Coturnix japonica: one gene and its partner. The protein of the gene in region 1 interacts with the protein of each later gene in a pairwise test. Links are inferred from orthologs where the notes say so. Each region holds a gene or a part of one and is shown on either strand. Other genes may lie near its edges.

Region 1 (10,927 bases):
TTCCAAACACATCCTGATCCCACCAGATATCTTCGTAGATATGCTTCTAGATATTGTTCTAGATATGATTGAGTGCTATCTGTTAAAGCTTACCACAAGGTGGGATAAATTCTGAGTGCTCTGACTTTGCAGAACTTGTTCAGGGCAGAAACTCAGCACTAGCCTTAGCAATGGTGACAGTTCCATTCACTGATGAAATGGAGTAATAATAAATTAAATGAGTATTTCAAAACATGAATGGTGGCCTTAGGCTGTATGAGATATAATTAATGTCTGCTTATTGCAACAAATACATCGCTGTTATGTTTACAGCATGTGCTGAATCCTCTTTCTGATACAGAAATAGTAAATAACAGTAGTAGTCAATATCTCACAAACAGTATATTTTTCAGAGTACTGTTACAAAACTTAGACAAAATGTGTTCATTTTCCATGAATACCATTGAGCATTCTTTTTAATTAGTAGAAGTTGGATGTTTTAATCTATGTGCAAAAGGCAAGGAAAAAATTATTCAGTGACGATGTTCCTGATGATAATTGTGAAATTGCACTCTACTGCAGAAGGAATGTGATGTCAGTCCTCCTTTTCTTTCTAGGGAATTCAAACTTTTTTTCAACACCTTTCTGTCAACAGTGTGAATGATAGTGTTTCTGTTCACAGGGATTCTAAGTCTTTCATCGAGCATCAGAAGTCTAGAAAACTTGTTTAGACTTAAATCCTATTATTTGATGGGAGATGCACCAAGGTTTTCATGCTTAACTTCTTGCTTTTCATGTTTCAGGAAGTTTGATGTGGGCTTGTGAAATAACATGACCATGTCTAGCCTTCTGTTAACACCAGATACACACTTTTCACTTCAAACCTGAATATAATCGGGTGTCTGCTTGTTACCTTTACTAGAAATAAGTTATACTTTAATTACTTATATGTTGCATGAGATATTTTGTCTTGTGTTAGCTTTTTTGCATGTCTCTTCCACTTGGAGGTCAGAAAAGAGGGACCAAACTGAACCCAAACAGAGGTTAGGTTAAGTACGCCTTTGTCAAATCACTCTCTCTCCCCTGCAGACCATATCTGACTCATAACACATTGCCTATAATTCATCTATGGTCTCAGTCCCATGGGGATGCTGTTTTTAATTCCCTTGCAGCAAGCCCTGAAGGCTGATTAGCTGCATGGATGCTGACTACACTCAAGCATCTATATGAATATGGCCTTCATGGATCAAGAATGCTTATAAATTGTTTTGCTTTCTAAGTACATATTAACCCATTATCACAATGACAACTGCTTAACACTGTAGTAGCTAATCATTCCACAGGTGAATACTGTTACTGCAAACACAGTGAAGTCATCTAAAGTCTATGGATAAGTGCTGGAATCCTAGTTTGTGGTGCACAGCACAAGTAACAGCAAGTCCAGCTTCTTTTGCTTGCTTGTTCAGATATTTACACCTTTTTGAACTCCTAGAAATTCATAGTTTCAACATCCCGTCAAGTTATCATAGCATTAGATCTGATTCATTGAATATTATAACTTAAATTTGTATCAATGAAGCCAGTACAACCAAGATCTGATAGGTAGAAATTGGTCATTCTACTCTCACTGTAGAGGATCCCTGGGTGTTGCTGTGTGACATGAACTCTCAATGATTTTTCTGAGCACCTAGTGAGCAAAAGTGCATAAACCTTCCTTGTTTCTTGCTGTTACCACAACCCACTTCAAAGGTGTTAGTGCAGTTCAGTAGTCTACATTTCCCCATCCTGTGACTGTATCACATACATGTTTTTAAATATGGCTATGTTTGTTGTTTTTTTTTTCCTCTTTCTTTCTTTCTTTTTTTTTTTTTCCTAAAGGAAATCACATTGCATTCAGTAATAAAGGCATTTTGGATGAGGAAGCTGAAAGCTGAGGGGAAAAAAAGACACAGCCTGTAATAAAGGCATAAACTCTTTCAAAGTACACTATTTTGAAATGAGTCTATTGAGACTTGCATGAGTTAAACACTAAATGACCGTAGTCTAAGATTAAATATTTAAATATACACACACACACACACATATATATATATAAATATATATATATATAATTTCCCACAGCCCAGTTGAGGTGGGTTCAGTTCACAGTTCTGGTTCAGAGGAACTGTGAAGTTGCACAAAACAGTGTATTTCCTTGTTTTTTCACATTTGCTGCTTCAGCTTCACAAGGCAGCTTCTGGTCCCCAGGCTCCTGCTGCTGAGATTCTACTGTGCTTGGATTGAGCATAATAAAACACTGCTGGAGCCTGAGTGTCCTGGCCATTCGATTGCAATTGTGAATGTGTGAACAAGTCAGAAGACAAGTGTTCAGTGATAACAGGATTAGTATTAGGAGATTGAATTCTTTTATCTCTCCAATGATTGTTTTAGTGCTGCTAGGCATTTTCCATTTAAATGAGATTTCTATGGAGCTTCTAGAAAACTATTATGAGAACGTACAGGAGACTAAGCTGATGTTGCAGTTCATTACTATCTGAGATTTGAGATTCAACACCTGAGTCTGTCATTTTTTAAGTGTGAAAAGAAAAAGTATTGTAAGGAAGTCTGAAACTCTTGAAGAAAAATGCCTGAATGGATTTGGTGGCTGTTGATGACTGAAGAAAACAACACAGATTTTGTTTACAGAAAAGCTGTTGTTCACATCTGTTAAACTGATTTTATCTATGTTAGTTTCCTGTTATACAATACAGAAAATGGAAGTGGGCTTTCTTTTGCCTGGAGATAGAAATGGATTTTTCATTACTGAATATTTTGTTGTAACTCTTATTCCATGCATTCTCTGTAGAAAGTGCTGAGCTCAAAGGCTGATCATGTAATGGACTGAACAGTAGCATTGTTGTTTTATACCTCTGCTAGCAAGGTACAAAGTGAATTTTCTACTAGAAGGGAATTGGCTTTCAGTCCTTGTTGTGCATTTGTCTTTCAGCCTGACGGTCCTGCTGTGAATGGCTTTGTCGGTAGACTCAGCTTTGTACCGTTGGCAGCATCTTGGAGCCAAAAGTGCCCCCCAGACTGTGGCGGAATCAACACCTCTGCTGTTTTCTGTCAGAGACAGACTGAAACTCGACTTAAACAAGTGGAGGATTGTGTTTTCCAACAATGGGAGACAGCAGAGAAGCTGGGACCAAGCTACTAGGCTTTATGCTGGAAATAAGATACAGACTACAAAATACACGTGGCTTACTTTTTTGCCCAAAAATCTTTTTAGGCAGTTTCACAGGTAAAAGTGACAATCATCAAGTGGTATATGAAGTATAAGAATTCTTTCTGAAACAGTGATATTTGGAAATGATAGAGAAGGGTTGCTTCTGTAGCTTCCATGTGTTTAAAATTTAGGAGAAGACTCTTTGTAAAAAAATTGTCACCTAATTCATACTGAAGTGGAGGCTTAAAGCAAATAAGTAGTAGGTGGTGTTCTAACCTGTGCCATGGCCACGTTTACTGCTTCAGTACCAGAGCAGCTTTCCTTGGAAAAATTTCAAGTTGCATATCACAATAACTGGTAGTTCCATCTTCATCTCTAGAACTGATATTTCTGTTCTCTTAGACTTATACCTTCATGATTTGATCTTTCATTTTCCACACATGGAATTTTGAGTGAATCCCAATGTGAATTATGAATGTATGTTTTCTGTACTCGTTGCATTGGTTTATTTTTTGAGAGTTGTAAGTGGTGTTGTTTTTCTGTGGGGTTGTTGTGTTGTTTGGTGTGTTGTCTTTTTCTGTGGGGGGATGGAGGGCTCCATAGTAATTTCTTTGTTTGCCCTTTGCTGGAATCTATGATTATTTTCAGAAGTGAGTTTGTGGGAGAACATTAGAGAAGATTCAGCTCCTAGACATATGTGTGTGTGTGTGTGTGTGTATATATATATATATATATATATATATATATATATATATATATATATATACACACACATTTGTACTATTAAGGTAGTTATAATATTATGACAATATAACTCACAAGCTTTTCTAAAGAAAAAAAAATAAGCAACTCAGTTAAATAATTGATTATTTAGGAAAAGGATGAGGTTAGAGATGTGAAACAATTAATGCTTATGGCACGAGATGAGGGATTTTAATTAAGAAGTAACACCTTTAATCCCTTTTTGTATCTTTCTTTACAGGCTAGCTAATGTTTATTTTCTCTTCCTGGTGGTTCTAAACTGGTTCCCACAAATGGAAGTCTTCCACAGGGAGATTACAATGATTCCTCTGATTGTGGTGCTGCTTGCCAGTATGATTAAGGATGCTACTGAAGACTATAAAAAATACCAATTCGATAAGATGATAAACTCCTCTAAAAGCAGAGTATATGACAAGTAAGTAGACCAAACCATTTATTCTCCTTGAGTTTGGTGTGTTGGAAAATGCTTGTTTTGATTTTGTAACAATTCCCTTCCTGACCTTTTGGAGTACAGGAAGTTTGGAAGAGCTGTTATAAAAGACTTTTGTTCTGCTTCAGAAAGTGCTTCATTTATCTCACTCAGGGTCAGAGTTATCCTGAGAAGCTTTGTTCTATATCACAGATTTATGTGCTGATACACCAGTTTTCATTCCAAGTTTCCATACCAGTTTACCAACACAAACAGTATCATCTCCCAGTAGCAGAAGGTTCTGGAGGAAGTCTGGAAAGGATCATTACGGTCTGTTTTTGTTTTTTAATACACGGAAACAACATCTTTCAGAAATTTCGTGATAAAACCATTTATACAAAGTTAATAATCAACTGCATTTATGCGTTCAAGGTGATGTGTAGCCAGGAACTAAGCAAATTTTATAGCATTTCCAGTTAGCACAGGTGATCAAAACAACACATTTTCACTCTGGAAGTGGTACAACACCCACTTGCAGTAAGCTGTGTTGTTTGCTCAGTACTGACTCAGAAGGAAGAAGTATTTTCAAGTGCAATTCTTATTGCAACATTTCGATTTCATCAGAGTTTCTTGTCTAAGTACTAATTTGACTTGAGACTACCTCACTTGTCTCTACATAACACAATAGGAGCTTTGCTTTGTAAGAAGTTTAAATACTTGTGCCTCTTCTATTCTTTCACATCTCCTTATGTCCAAACCATAGAGGAAAAATTACTGTGAAGCCTTCTTGAAAATTAACTCTCATCTGTGCTGATTACTTATGTGGCAAGGGCACAAGGTCCAACAGACTGAAAGAAATGAGAGTCTGCAAGGAGAAAAGGGTGAGAAAGGTCAGAGTTTGAAAAGGAAATGGGAGTCTAGAGGCTGGTCTAACAGGGGAGGAGCTTCAACCTGTGGGGCAACCTGGGTAAACTGCTCTTAAATTGCCTATGTATATTTATAGTTCTTTCTACTAGAAATTTTGTGTTTGTATTAGTGAGTGGGGAGGGACCGGGTGCTTGCTTGTTTGTTGTAATAAATTAAGTTATGAGCTTGAAAGCAAATAGTAGGATGGAAGTAACTAATATCATCTGTACAGAGGCTCATAGTAAATTGGTTGACTTCTGTACTCAGAGCTCAGCCCTTTACCTTTGAACTTCCTGGATGCTAACAGGCTTATAAAACGATTCAGAAACACTTAGAGTGAATGGTGAAAACTGCGTGTATGTTCTTAGTTTCATCTGTGCAGCGCTGAAACAGAGGTACTTCATGTGAGCAGACACATGATTCCAGGGAAATACTCTGGGGCCTCCAGGCATGTAGTAACAGGAATAACAAAACATTCAGGATGTTTTTCTCGTGTGTGACGTGTAGCCTTCCCAGCAAGCTTTAGGACCCGGAGCAGCTGGGTCAGGAAGATACCTGTTCACAGGCAGGTGGATGCTGGAGTCAGCGACAAGCAGCCCTGGGCTCCCGACAGCTTGAGTCTTCCCTCCACCACTTTGGAGTTTATGTGGGTTACTGAACTCTACTAGCTTTGTTAGCCTATGACTTGAGGCTACTTTTTGAGAGGACAGCAAGATGTCAAGGAGGAATTTTCCAGGCTGCTTCTCTAAGATGGTATGGAAAAAACATTTTTTCAAGGAAACCTGCTGTCAGTGTGTTGCTTCAGACACAGAACCCCAAAATGAAGTGCTGGAGAAGAGAGGAAAACTAAAGAAAAGAAGGAAGAAAAATGAAAATAAGCGAGTGATCATCTCCAATTTGTCTTTTGGAAATATGAAGTGGAAGGAAAATCCAAACAGATACTATGACTCCAATAAAATTAAGACCACAAAATACAGCATCTTGACTTTCTTCCCTAAAAACATCTATGAGCAGCTTCACCGCTTTGCCAATATTTATTTTGTGGTCATTGCACTACTGAATTTTGTGCCGGTGGTGAATGCTTTCCAACCAGAAGTTTCTTTGATCCCTATTTGTGTTATAATGGCCATGACAGCCATTAAAGACGCTTGGGAGGACTTTCGGCGGTATAAACTAGACAAAGAAATCAATCACATGGGTTGTTACATTTACAGCAGGTGAGCTTTTTTTTTTTTTTTTTTCCTTTTTTTTCAAACAGCTTTTACTTTGGAAAATGTTGACTTGAGATCTTTTATCAATTGTGAGGTTTCTTGTTTAAAGTATCAATTAATGCCTGCTAGAAAATCACAGTGATTAAGTGAAGTGGTATAAAGTTGCAGTGACTAGATAACACCCATACTTGGTCTGATAAAAAGATGTTCCTATTTTGCTTAAATCTATTGTTCAGACTGGAAAGGAAAATTTTTGTTTCATGGCTCTGCAGTGGCTATTGGCCTCTTAGACGTGGAGTGTTTAAATAGCTGCCGAGCCCTGGAGTTCTAAGGAATTTTCAGCAGAGCTGAATTCTGCCAATAAGGTGCAGAACAAGATTTGCACAAACAATATAGCACAGAACAAGATCATTCATGCAAATGGGTCCTTGTTTGCTTAGAGGCCATGAAACCTTTGAAAAACATTGCTAGTGCTTTGAATTAATTTCAGTTTTATATTCCAGTCTGCAGGCTGCCTTCCAGTTGTGTTTTTGGGTTTTCTTTTATTTATTTATTTACTAGATTATATGTTAAACAAAAATGAATATAAGCGTATTTTAAAAATTTGAGGTAGTAACATATTTCTGTTTGATCTTCTCTAAATGAATTATCTCTAAATATCTGTGACATTTTCAAAATGTTTAATGACCTCTTAAACTTAGGACATTTGTTGTATTAAAACTGTTATCAACATAGAAAATGGCTTCTGCCTCCTTAAATATCACATAGGGTACCAGCAGAGCAAAACTTATAATTTACCTGAACTTTATTTATCATTCCTCCAGTTAATCAGCAGTGCTTTATACAGTGTATGTTCTCACAAGTAGGATCTTGTAAATCTCTAACTTTTATCACAGAGTTCTGCCATTGCTGTTTCTTGCTCTTGCATGTGTTTGTCGGATTTTTATTTTCATATCCTGCTGGTTAAACAGAGAAATAATGGATTTGCTTACTTTTACCCCAACATGCAGATAATGATGTGTCAGAATTAAAATCTTTGCTCATTTTGCCAGCGTATCTGGAAAAGTGGGCATTTTACAAGTTTCTAAATATTGCACATCTAAGACTTCTTTTCTCTTCCACCATGAAGACTGTCGATAATTCTCGTTCTTTGAGTAGGTACCTGAATTGCTCCTACCTTTGATGCTCTCAGAGTTATATTAATCCATGGAGCGATGGATGATTTGTTGAGACCACATAACAGGGAATAGTAGGTGATGCAGTAGGTACTAATGAATGCATTGGCATGGAAACATTACTTCCTCTTGACATAAAGCAATTGTGTTAATTTATATGGAGAAGACTTTTACCTTGAGTAAATGAGAATTAGAGAATACAATATAAACTGTTTTCATGTTAAAGAAAAATGTACGTTATAGCATTACAAGGTACAAACAGATCCAGATCCAAGTTGTAGCCCTTTGTACTTTCTTATGCAGAAAGATGAGACAGCACATCTTAACATTGCTCATCCCATTCCATAGGAAGATCTTTGATCTACGAATAAATCTTGTGTCTTACCAGAGTCTTATGGCCCAAAGCAGTGACGTAAGAGAAAGAATGAATATTAGAGTGTGAAGGCTTCCTTATTTTTCTATCTGGAAAAAGTGTTGACAATTGTAATTGCCATCAGATCTGTAGTTGCAGCTTATTATATAATGAATAATTTTAATCAGGCTTCTATAGCTTTTAGGGAAGCTGGTAGGTCTTGTTCTTCCTGCTAGCTGCAAAGTCATGGAAGAGTATGATGGCTTCTAATTTTCCTCCTTGTGAATCATCTGCCATAGGTAATTTTTTAACATGAGTGAAAGTTTTTTTGGGGGGGACTGTGAATCTTGTTAATCTTGTGACACCAAAGAATCTTTTGTAATAGAATAACTCCTCTTCATCATAAGATGAAAATTTAATTAGATTTAAAGTATTAATCTTGGAGAGTAAATTGTCTTCATTTCAGATTTCAGAAACAAGAACTCTAGTTCCTGTTCCATAAAACATAAAGTGCACTCCCTTTGCTGAAAGCCAAATGTCCTCCAAAAATGTCTTGAACACCAGAGGAAATGCTGCAACTTGTCTCCTTTCAGTATGGAGCAAGGGAAATTGAATTCAAGTAGACTGCCCTGTAAACACATTACTTCTAATTTTCTTTTCACAGAGGTCAGCTGGAATGGCTAATCTAGCCTGCTAGTCAAATGAAGGAAAAGGCACTTCAAGTAGTGTACTTAAAGAATGCTTAATTGGAGAAGGAAAATTAAATAAATAAATAAATAAATAAATAAAAGAAGAAACAATAATATTAAAGTATCTTGGGAGTTTCAATACCTTAGATCTGATGTTTGATTGCAGACATTTTACTTCCTGACTAAAAGGTTTTTGAAATCATAATTTGTATACAGACTGTTGTGCTGCTAGATTACATCACGCTAAACCTCTATATGAGAACTAAAATACACTTGCTTCTTTTCTCTTAGTCTTCTTTTAATTATTCTTAGTCTTCTGTTAAATATACCTAGTCTGCTTTTAAACTTTTGTAGGAATGAGGCTTCTACCACTACAATATGTGATTATCGAAGCATTTTCTAAGATATTCTGCTTTATTATCCTTCTTTAATTGCATTAAAATTCCTCAAGTGACCTGGTTTCATGCAACCCTAATTATTCTTCATCATCAACATTTAATTATAGTTTTCATGCATGTGTAATTTCTATCATGTTCATTTTGCTACTCCCAGACAGCTTTTAGGCAAGATATGTATACGGAACACCCTTTTAATCTGTCTTGTCAGTCAGTCCCTCCACTCCTATTTTGGTTACTGTTCTCTGAACTCTGTTGAGTTTGTCCCTAACTAACTAACAGGGGCCAGCACTGAGTGTAGCATGCAGGTCTGTAAGTGAATGCCAAGCCAACAGTTACTAAAAGCTATTTAATCACTTCAGCATTCCATAATGTTTGAGAAACCACTTGATGTACGTATGATTAACCTGTGGGCTGGGTCTGATGTTCCTCTAGGACAAAGCTGTAATGGTTGGCAAACACTCCATAACATCCAGACAGGATTTTACATCAACTTCACGCTTCTAGAAAATTGAACCTTAATTTTTCTGTTTATTCTGAATAGATGTTCAGGTTCAAGATGGCAGATCAACATGCTTGATTGAACATGCAAAAAGAGGTTTGTTGCCAACGTTTTCATTTTAAGTCTTCATCAGCAGTGCTGAGTTCTTGCTTGTTGAAGAACAATTTCTTTTTACTCTATTATTTTTGTTTTCTAACAAAGCACAACTTTAAAGACTAGGGTTCTGCTGGGGGCTTAATTGGATTCATTTTGTACACCAAGAAAAAGAGTCTCAAGCTTGTGGTCTGCTTTAAGTCCTGCCATCTTCCCTCGGGCAAAATTGCACTGGATTTGCTTTGGCACAGCCACATCAAGGCTTCTGTATCTTGCTGGTGCTTCCTCTGAATGGCGGATGAATATCAACAACAGGGAATCTCCTGGCTTCATACCCTCAAATTGAACAGTTGTTGGGGGGAATGGCTATGGATGCTTGCTAAGTTCTTTTACTTCACTGACTTCTAATAAGTGTTATGGTTCTTTGATGCTGCTGATGTCCGTAAGACTAAACAGCCTCCTTAGATACCAAAATGATGGCAACATGGTATAAACCAGGGATGAATTGGAATGGATATTTTGACTCAGGTGGTATCTCCAGCTCAGGAATACTGTGTGAAGTTGTTCTGTATTATAAGCTATGGGCAGATTTCATGATCAGTTCCTCTTCAGTATAGTGCCACCCTCAAGTTCTTAATCTGCTCCTATGTTGTCATTTTTTCAGGGTTGTTATGGCAGCAGCTCCTAACCTTGCAATTCATAGCTTTGAAATGGTATTTGAAAGCTTAGTGTGAAGTTTTCCATTTAGAATCCTTGACAGTATGCGTTCAATTTGTATCTGCAAAAATAGGCTGTAATGTTTAAATACCTGTGTAATTCCAGATGTTTGTTGCATAGCACTGAGTATGGTGGAGCACTTTTGATAAAGCGATCCTTGAGGGTGACCATTTTCAAACATAACATGCAAATGAATTTGCATACAATAAAACACAAACATTTGGATTTGCCTGTATGTTAGTCTGATTTTATTTTTTTTGTCCAAACTGTCTGATATTACAGTCTGGTGGCAATTTACAGGTGTGAAAGGTAGAGTAACATCTTTACTACAAACTGCAAGGGAAGCTGACTAGAACTTTTAGTAATTCAGAGGAACCAGACCTACTGAGCTAATAGGTCGATGTAACCATTATACATGGTGAAGGTTTCTGAAGTGGCATGTACGTGGAAAACAGTTTTATTTAATCTCCTCTTGGGAGCAGCACAATATTTTCTTACTTCCTCCTATTCACCACCCCTCCTGACCCAGTCT
Region 2 (9,628 bases), on another chromosome or scaffold:
GTACAAAGAGAGTCTTTGAGCATCACTACTGTGAGTGTTACTATAAAGTAAATACAATTTAAGAGGTTGGATTTCCAGGTTTCAGTTAACCAGCATGTTTGTGTGTTTTATTGACCTGTTGTGTAAATCAAAACCCTTCTTGTAGAGTAACGTCTTCATGTATTACGGACTTTCTAACTTCTATCAAAACCACCGTCGCTATGTGAAATCTCGAGATGACAGCCAACTCAACGGAGACAACAGCTCATTACTTGTAGGTATTCGAGCTTTGATATTTACAGATACTAGTAGGCAATGAACAGCTGACTTGCATAAGTTATCACAGGGCAGAATAACTAGTTTAATAATAACGTAGCTGTAGAATTTTTGTATTCAACAAACAATAAGGTATTCATATTTTTTATTAAAAATAATAAACGTTCTTTTATTTATTAAATTCTTAATTCTTTTATTTATTAAAAATAAATAACATTCCAGTTAGAACATTTTTTCCCCTCTTTTAACAGTTTCTAAGCACAGTCTTAATTTTACAATGACCATCATGGGATTTTTGACTTTATTCATATTTTATCTAGAATATTTTCCTGCTTGTAAAGAAAAAAATCAATCATATCGATTAGCAATGAATGCTGAAGTATATGTAAATAAACTCACTCCTGAGAATATTTTGTAGTAAGTGTGAGCTGTGTACGTGTGTGAAGTACTGAAGTATAAACTAGCACAGACTGATCTGCCTTTTTTTCTTTCTAACTGTCAGAATCCAAGTAAGGAATGTGAGCCTTACCGCACCAATGAGGATAAACCCATTGCTCCCTGTGGGGCTATTGCCAACAGTATGTTTAATGGTACGGTAACACTTCTGAGTTTAGCACTGAGGTGTTTTTGTGTTGTGTATGCTTTGTACTGATGCTTTATTCTGGGTATTATTGTGGATTGTTTTGTTTTGAATTAACACACCTTAATTGTTTGGAATGTTGAGATTAAAATACCATTAATAACCACCACAGTGAATTTAACCTGATAGCACACAAGGGATTGAAACATCTGTTGTGAGTGGCTGTTATGGCTGTGGAATAAAGATGCTATACATGTATAACGCACTGCTCTGTATGTGTGTGGATTATTACAGAACAGTTCTTGATTGTGGCAATTTGTTTTTCCTGTAGATAATTATTTTACTGCCTATCAGGATCATTCATCTAATAAAAGCCACTCTTATCTGGTCTTCCAATTTGATTTTCCCCATAGATACATTGGAATTGTACCACATCGAAAACGACACAAGGACCGCTATTACTTTGATTAAAAAAGGCATTGCGTGGTGGACAGATAAAAATGTGAAGTTCAGGAATCCTACAGGAGATGGAAAGAATTTAACTGCGCTCTTCCAAGGTAAGAAATGTGTGAAATTTTAAGAACAAAAGATTTCAAACACATTGATTGCCATGGACTTCACCTCAATGGTGACATTGTAGTGAACATGTTAAATATATTGTTCTATGAAGAAGTCCAAGCTAAGGACTTCTCTGCTTTCTGGAAGAGTTGTCTGTTAACAGTGGATGCTGCAAATTTAATGCAGAACTAATATAATTTTTTCTAAATTCACTGTAGTCATTTAACATGTAAAAATAGAACCTGGGCTTATTTCCTGTTTAATCTTTCTGAACTTTCATGAAAGCTCTTTCTGTCAGTTGCTTGGCATCAGATTAGTTTTGCCTTAGCAACTAATCCAATTTGTTAAGATGGTGAAAAGATTCTTGGCTTAAGTGATATTTCAATTACTTGTTGCCGTTTGGGATCTTGAAATATCAAATCAAATTCTGATATATATATATGTGTGTGTGTGTGTGTATATATATATATGTATATATATAATAGCTCTTGATAACTTTTTATGCCTTGAATACTGAGAAAATCCTCGTTAAGTGCAGTGCTATAATACGTGGTTTTAACTTCAGAAGAAATCCTGTGATTATTTAACCAAACTGTGTGAAATTTTCTTTTTTAATGTTTCTACTGGTAGATCTTACAGTGCTTTTTAAAATCTGATTATTTGTGATCAGATTAACTGATTTTTCTCAGTTATAAGGTTAAATGTAGTTAAGTACAGCCTGGTAAGTCGGAGTTTCTTTGACAAAGTCTAAAAGCAGTTTTCCTTCTGGGCTTTTGGGTCTGTGTGTATATGTAAGATAGAAAATAGCTCTAGGTTTAGCCTGATATGTCTTGCTTGCTTAGTCACAGCCAAGTGACCTTACCAAAGTGATGTTACCCTTGCAAAGGCAGATGCCATACTCTAATGTTCCTGAGCAGTTCAGTAATCTTGCAGTAGCAATGAGCCAGTCTGGCTCTTCGTACTGCTTAGGATTCACTGCATGTTTTTTATGATACTAGAATGAATTTTGGTGATCCAGTGCTTCATTTAGTCCTGTGTTTGAAATGCTTTATTGTTGTTTTTGTTTAATCTTAGGTACAACAAAACCAGTCAACTGGCCCAAACCAGTGTATATGCTGGACTCTGAGCCTGACAACAATGGCTTTATCAATGAAGACTTTATCGTGTGGATGCGTACTGCTGCTCTGCCAACATTTCGTAAGCTGTATCGTCTCATTGAGAGGAAGAGTAACTTACAGCCTACCTTACAGGCTGGAAAATATTCTTTGGATATCACGTACAGTATCCTTTGAAAATGCCCTTAAAAACTCCTTAGAACACTGTCTGGGTTACATGGGTGGACTTTTAAGGAAGGTTAAATCAAATGAGACTTTATAATTGCTGTCTTCTGCATATAGTTTATAGAACTAACTTATGTTTGTTCTGTTAAGATCATGAAATTCAGTTCCGTAGCTTCATAAAGGGAAATGACTGGGTCATCTTGACTTCAGAATGGCCACCTGAAGCATGGAGTTGTCTGAGCTAGTTATGCTAAAGTAAGAAGTAGCTCTAATTAAAAACCAAAATCCATTGTTCTAGGAAAGAGAGAAAGCTTTCTTTGATGCATAGGAGGGATGTGACAGTCTGCAAAAACCATGTTCCTGTCTCATGCAATCACTCAGACTTGTGGTATGTCTGTGGCTATACCATATAGAAAGTCACAAAGAATTTACTATATTATAGAAGTTGACTTTATGGTGAAGGTTTTGCCAAGGTGACTTTCGTAGAATCATAGAGTCACTCAGGTTGGGAAGGACCTTAAAGATCATCAAGTCCAACCGCAGCCTAACCATGCTACCCTAACTAACAGCCCTCTGCTAAGTCATGACTCTGAGCACCACATCCAAATGGTTCTGAAACACATCCAGGGATGGTGACTCAACCCACCTCCCTGGGGAGCCTATTTCAGCGCTTAACAGCCCTTTCATTAAAGAAGTTTTCCCTGATATCCAGCCTAAACTTATCTGGTGCAACTTGAGGCCATTTCCCCTCATCCTGTCACCAGGGAGATCAAGTATCTTTTTGAGAATATTATTCTTTAGAAATGTAGGATTTTACCTCTTGTGTTTCATTTTTAACTTAAAGCACATCACACTTGCCTGATGACGAGGGTGGAGGGAGAAAAACACAATGCTGCGGAGTCAGCTGGATCTTCAGATACAATCTAATACAGGAATGACTTGTAAATTTGTAGCCTTATTGCAAGTTTTTTCACTTAGGCTCATATTCTTCAATGTAAATACAGTTTTAATCATAATTTTCTTAAACTATTGTGTAGCTCTCATAGAACTGCATTATGTATTTAATGAGGATGAAAATATTATTTGGATTTTTTTTTTTGTTTCTGTTTTCAGAGATCACAAAATGGGGGGACAAAAAAAAAAACAACAGCACCCCAGTCTTCTAAAGAGGCCTTTGTGAGATTATAAATTAATATCAGGGAAGATTTCAGTGCAAAATTTGCCAGTAAGCAAATGAAGGACACTAGTCTAGACACTAGTGTCTTCTCAGTATGCTTGAGTGCTTAGAGGGGTATGGTCAGCCTCATTCACCCTTAGTCTCACACAGCTTGTTCACATATGTGGCTCCTTGCAGTCCCTGCTGCCTGCTTCAAGGGATTGAGGCTGCAGTCTTTGCATGGGAGCATTTTCATGTGATAATTTTTTGGGTAGATACAGAAGCAGACAGACTGCAGTCTAACAGGAAGATGTGTAGGCATAGTTCAGGTGATGCTTTGCTTGAGCTGTTAATTTAGAGGTGAAGAGCTCAGAATTTAGAGGCCAGAGCTGTGGATCAGGTGCACATCTGTCATTCCTTTTTGGGCACACAAAAGATGAGGTAGTTATGTAGGAGACTAGAGGAGGCAGGTTGTCATAGTTACTGAATTCTTAAAACTCGAAAGCTCCTGAAGATCATTAAAGTACTCACTGCAGTATTTTTCTTCCCTGCAAAACAGCAGAGAGTGCGTGTAAAAAAGAGTCTATTTATTATTTATCTATTTATTCACTAGGAAAAACTAAAATACAGATTTCAATTCCTCAGTGTATTTTCTTCATTTTATTGAAGTTCCTTTCAAAGGCCCATGAAACTGCATTTACTTTCCACTTACAAAGTGAATAACCCCTGTGGCATTTTTCTTGGAGTAGTTGACTGTGCCCAAGTTAATCTTTTTTTAAAAGAACAGCTACTTTGAAGCTACTTTGAATATTCAAAGATGTTTGTGTCGGGAGCCTGAGTCAGATAATCCAACATGTTAGTGTGCCTGATTAAGTTAGGTTTGGAAATGCACTTCATGTTTCTTGTTTTCCTATATTCCTTGTTTTCTCTCAGATTATCCCGTGCACAGTTTTGATGGACGAAAAAGAATGATCCTAAGCACAATCTCATGGATGGGAGGCAAAAACCCCTTCCTGGGCATTGCGTACATCACTGTTGGGTCCATATGCTTCTTCTTAGGAGTTGTATTGCTGATCATCCATCACAAATATGGAAATAGAAACACCAGTGCAGACATTCCCAATTAAAGTCGCGTTTTGAAAGCAACTATGCTGCATGTGCATCAAGGCCAGTCCAGAACGGACCCAGCTGTTGGAAGATAAATCTCTGCTAATGTCACTTCTGGGGCTGGGTATATAATTTTATCTAAAGATCTCCTTTCCCCCTTGCTGTGGATTAACTCTCAGAATGACGGGTATACAATTAGCTGTATTGATTGTATCTCTGCATTTGTCAGAAACAGTTTTCTGATCTTTGCCTCTGGCTGGGCAGGCCATTTGATGCATGTAGCTCCGGTTCCCTTGATGCATCTGCTGCTTGTCATGTGCTGTGTAACGTCAGTATGATTCAGTACATACAGATTGTGGAGAAGACTGTTGTAAGATACCATGTAAATTGTTCATTTAGCAGAATTTGAGTGTCATTGCTTTTGAAAGGAAAAGGCAAGTCTTAAGTGTTTTTTTCAATTTATTGTCTTGTGTGCATGGACTCTTACATTTCCGGATGAGATTTTAATATATTTATATTAGCAGTTAAATGTTCTTTCCTGTGTCCTACCCACCTTTGTTACGTTAGATTCTTTAAGTGCAGTGCGAATTGCAACACATGGAATTCCTGTTAATAGTTGCAACAGATGTGCCTGGCCAGTAAAATGGCATTCTATAAAGGCATCGGGAAACCTATTTGTTCATTATCTCTATGAGTTCCTCTTAAATTTTGTTCTAAACTGGGAGATGTTTGTTGCAGGTAGAACCTGCTGTTTTGTTGTTCTCTTTGCTTTAAGTTATATCCAGTTTTCCTGATGTGCTTTGCTGGTTTTGCTTTTTAAAGAGTACCTCCATGCAGTAAGCAAGATGAATCTAAAATGTCTGTTCAAGTCACAGACTTGAGTGAATTCCTTTCACTAAGAGTTTCTTGAAACATGTATTCTGCTGAGCAGGCTTTGTTGTAAAGGAAATCTCACGTTCTGTTTCCTTATATGGAGTAGATGCCACAATAAATTCTTGCAGTGTTGAGATACTGAACTGTAGAAATTGAGAAGCTGAGATGACAGTGATCTTTGTTATTCCAGTGCAGCTTATGTTTGCAGTGAAACCTAATTGAAATATTGCAGTTAGAAGCAGTGAGGTTTAGTGTCATAAACAGCAGAAGGGTTCACTTCTAGGTTAATTTGAAGCTAGTTAATCTATAAAATACTATCTGATTTCTTTTTAGATGATGCACAGAAATTGTAATGTATATGGTGGAGATCACTTTATATGCAACTAGCTTCGTAAGTACTGAGTGTATTAAAAATACCTAATAAATTCTGCAAACCATTTATTAAGAGATTTTACTTTCTTCTTGAACGTGCATTTATTTTCATCTGGGTGAAAAGCCATTCTCATGAAGAATGAATGCGTTTTAAGCAAGTTGTATTTCTCAGTTACAAAAAATCAATGTAACATCTACAGCCATCTTTATACAACACTGTATTAATCTAGCACATAAATGCAAAACTATATTTAGTCAATTACTTGTGTAATGTTTTTCAGCTTGCGGTTTACGTGTTTAGGTCTGCATACACTGCAGGATGAAGCAGTGTTTCCATGGTGCTGGCTTTCTGTATAAGCATATAATTTGCTTACACAGTACATTGTGGTAGCGCAGGGCTTTTAAACATTCAGGTCTTCTAGATTTTTTTGCAGTGCTGTATCTGTTGCTGGAAATATAGGATAAAGATATAGAACTGTATATTGCAAGGTTGGAAGGTTGCACAAGATGTTAAGCTGGCATTCCTCTGGAGAACAGTTTAGTCCAAAACAAAGTAGACAAGTAAGATGTTTCCCATTTACTGCTTACTAAAATATTTTGATTTTTAAACCATTTGTCACTTGAAAGGTAAATGTTTTGCTTTATTCATGACCCCTTTTCTGAGCAGGGAATGCTGGTTTTTGGGCTGCGTTCAAAATGGAAAAGAATATTTCTCTATCTCTACCTAGAAATGTTTTTCATTGCTTTTTTCTTTTCCTGTTGAGCACAGCTGTCACTGCTGTTTGGATCTTCTTAATGAAGTGCACCAAGAAGAATTGCTGAATGTTTGTTCTTGCTACAAATAAAGCCTTTTTTCTGAAAGCCTGTAGCACAAAATACTTGTCAGTATGCAGTGGCGCAGTGGTAGGAATGCTGCGTTGCAACACTGGAGGCCCGAGTTCGAATCCCCCCTGTGGCACAAGTGGTAGAAGCGCCGCTCTGCTACACAGGAGGCTCGAATCCCAGGGGTTGGACTCAATAATCTCTAAGGTCCCTTCCAACCCGCACAAGACTATGATACTATGATACTATGAATATGAACATTATGCCCAAGGAAGTCAAAATATTAGGTCTAACTTGTAATCTCTTACTTTACTCTTCTTCGTTTGCCTTGGTAGCACGTAGGTAACTACTGGGATTCTTAGACTTTGCGTTTCCTGGAAGCTGCCAATGTGTCATGTGTTCAAAGACAAAGCCACAGTGTCCCTGTCTGACACTTGTCAGGGCGGTGTTGCTGTCCCAGTGCTGTGTGCCGTGTGTTGGAGCTGACCACCTGTGCCCTGGTCCTTCAGTGACATCCGTTCCACACAACTGCTAGTGTTCAGATCTGGAAAGCAATGCCTCTCGTTTCCAAGTGCCAGCCAGGCACTTTCCAAATCCCACCCTGTTGAGGCAGTGCCCAAAGCATGAGATTATAGGCTTCCTGGAAGCAGGCGGTGTTAGGACATCCTACTTGTGAATGAATCTTTCCTGGAGAAATTAATGTGGGAAACTAGGATGTGTCTCTGTCTTACGCAGGAGCTTTTAAAACAAAATCCTTTGTGTGTGTCCATCTTCCTTCCAGCCTTGTTAAAATCTGCACAGCTGTAGCAAAGCAGAGGGCCCCTTGGGTACTTTTAAATTGCTTTGGGCTATTTGGAGAGCTGTTGGTTGTGATTAGCTGAGTCAGAGGGAAGAGTTATCGCCTTAAAACTTGAATGTGAAGAATTCTTTGTAGCCTTTGCCTCTGAAGGTCACATTGGTACTGAAACCACAGTGTCAGCAGCCTGGTTTTGCTTTAATTATGAATGTTAAACCTTGAAGAACACAAGGTTTGTCTTTTTATAGAAATCTTTGACAATCTAATGTCAGGTAACATCTGCTTGAGTCTGCCAAGTAGCAGAAAATGCCTGAAAATCTGATCCTACCTTGGTCCTACATAAGACCAATATCTTTTGTATTTGCTTTATAGAAATTCTATATTTGTTACTGTGTGTTGCTCTCTGCAACTCAACTAATTTTGAAGAGTTAGAAAGGAAGAGGGCAACAGTGCAGAAGCCTTCATCAATGTCCCAACAATAATAACAACAAATACATACCAAGGTAGTCCTATGAGGGGCTGTATCAGCCTAGTTACAATCAGTTACTTATAAATAAAATGACATTTTTGAGTGCTTGTGTCTGTGTTGAACAGCCTGCCAAAAGAAAACTCTTGCTTGGTAGGGGAAGGAAGTGAATGGTCAAGCTACTTTTATTCCAGCTGTCTTTTTAGCAATGTGGTCAATGTATGGACTCCTAAGATAGAAGGCCCCAGTTACATATCTTCCTTGGATCAGCAGAAGTACTTTCATGTTACAGTTCCATGCATTTTAGCTCACAGAATATGATTTAATTAACATAGTATGCCTTAAATGGGAGCTCTTGATGGTTTTGATTTAGATGGACTGTGATCATAAGCCTGATAAGAATCCATATCCTTATATGACCTGGGTCGCAAATAAGAAACTCTTTTCTTCTGCTCAACCAGCACATGAATTATAGTAATAATGTCTGTTGCTTGAGCTTATGCCAATTTCTGCTGTTGGAAATAGTTGTTCTCATTTTATGTTGGAAATAAGTAAGCAGAAATAAAAGCATGACTCGTAACTAATGAAGCTAAGGGGTTTTTATTATTATTATTATAGCAATTAATTTGAAAGAAAATGGATAGGATTTCTTCTTCCTAAACCCTGATTTCAGGTAAATGTGACCTCAAAGAAGCAAACTTAATACTAGAGTTACGTGCGAGACTAACTGATAGTGCTTGGATGTCACAGGATGAAATGGTGAGATGTTTTAAGTAATGTTGGAGGGCCAGGAAGATCATTGATGACCTCAATGATTCTCTTGGGAAAATATGAAAGATTGAGACGTGATATTTTTGGAAGAAATGAGAATATGAGAATCTAGGAGAAGCTTAAATGTCACGTCCACCTATCCCACTGCTCCAGGGCTTTCTACTTTGACTGGTAGGCTGAAAGTGAACTCAGGTGTTTGTGTATCATTTTAAACCCTGTTAAAAAAAGATTAAACTATTAATCAGAAACAGAAGAACAGCCCTGTTCAGTCAGGCTTAAACAAAACAGCCTAGCAGTGAGTTTTGATTACGAGTTTCATTATTTTTCAATGCAATGTATGTTAAAATTAATCTGTTAGGAAAAATGTGTTTCACTTTGCTTCTAATGAAATACCTTTGCTCTGTGGCTGCAAGATGCCATTTCTCTTCTTTTTCTCTACGACTGTGCTTTATGAGTGGTATTTTTAATACTGAACTCAGCTCAGTTCAGATGGTTTTCCATCTTTGTGTTTTTTCATTGCACCTTTCTGAGGCAGCCCATCGGGCTGGGAAGTGCTCTGCTTTGGGATGTAGTTTATTATTTCTGTACTGTG

Evidence for each region. The genes of interacting proteins can lie anywhere in the genome.
Region 2: the proteins of ATP10B (region 1) and TMEM30A interact in a protein complementation assay, tested with the Homo sapiens proteins (2 studies listed by IntAct, with this or other methods). The link is inferred for Coturnix japonica from reciprocal best matches to the Homo sapiens genes ATP10B and TMEM30A.

Annotation. Positions count from the first base shown.
Region 1 is NC_029528.1:9,786,640-9,797,566, forward strand, and holds the start of ATP10B (probable phospholipid-transporting ATPase VB), read left to right. Parts: upstream 1-5,074; 5' UTR 5,075-5,975; coding exon 5,976-6,478; intron 6,479-10,927. UniProt on the Homo sapiens protein: Catalytic component of a P4-ATPase flippase complex, which catalyzes the hydrolysis of ATP coupled to the transport of glucosylceramide (GlcCer) from the outer to the inner leaflet of lysosome membranes.
Region 2 is NC_029518.1:73,687,143-73,696,770, forward strand, and holds the end of TMEM30A (cell cycle control protein 50A), read left to right. Parts: intron 1-145; coding exon 146-253; intron 254-757; coding exon 758-845; intron 846-1,248; coding exon 1,249-1,392; intron 1,393-2,467; coding exon 2,468-2,674; intron 2,675-4,762; coding exon 4,763-4,956; 3' UTR 4,957-7,042; downstream 7,043-9,628. UniProt on the Homo sapiens protein: Accessory component of a P4-ATPase flippase complex which catalyzes the hydrolysis of ATP coupled to the transport of aminophospholipids from the outer to the inner leaflet of various membranes and ensures the maintenance of asymmetric distribution of phospholipids.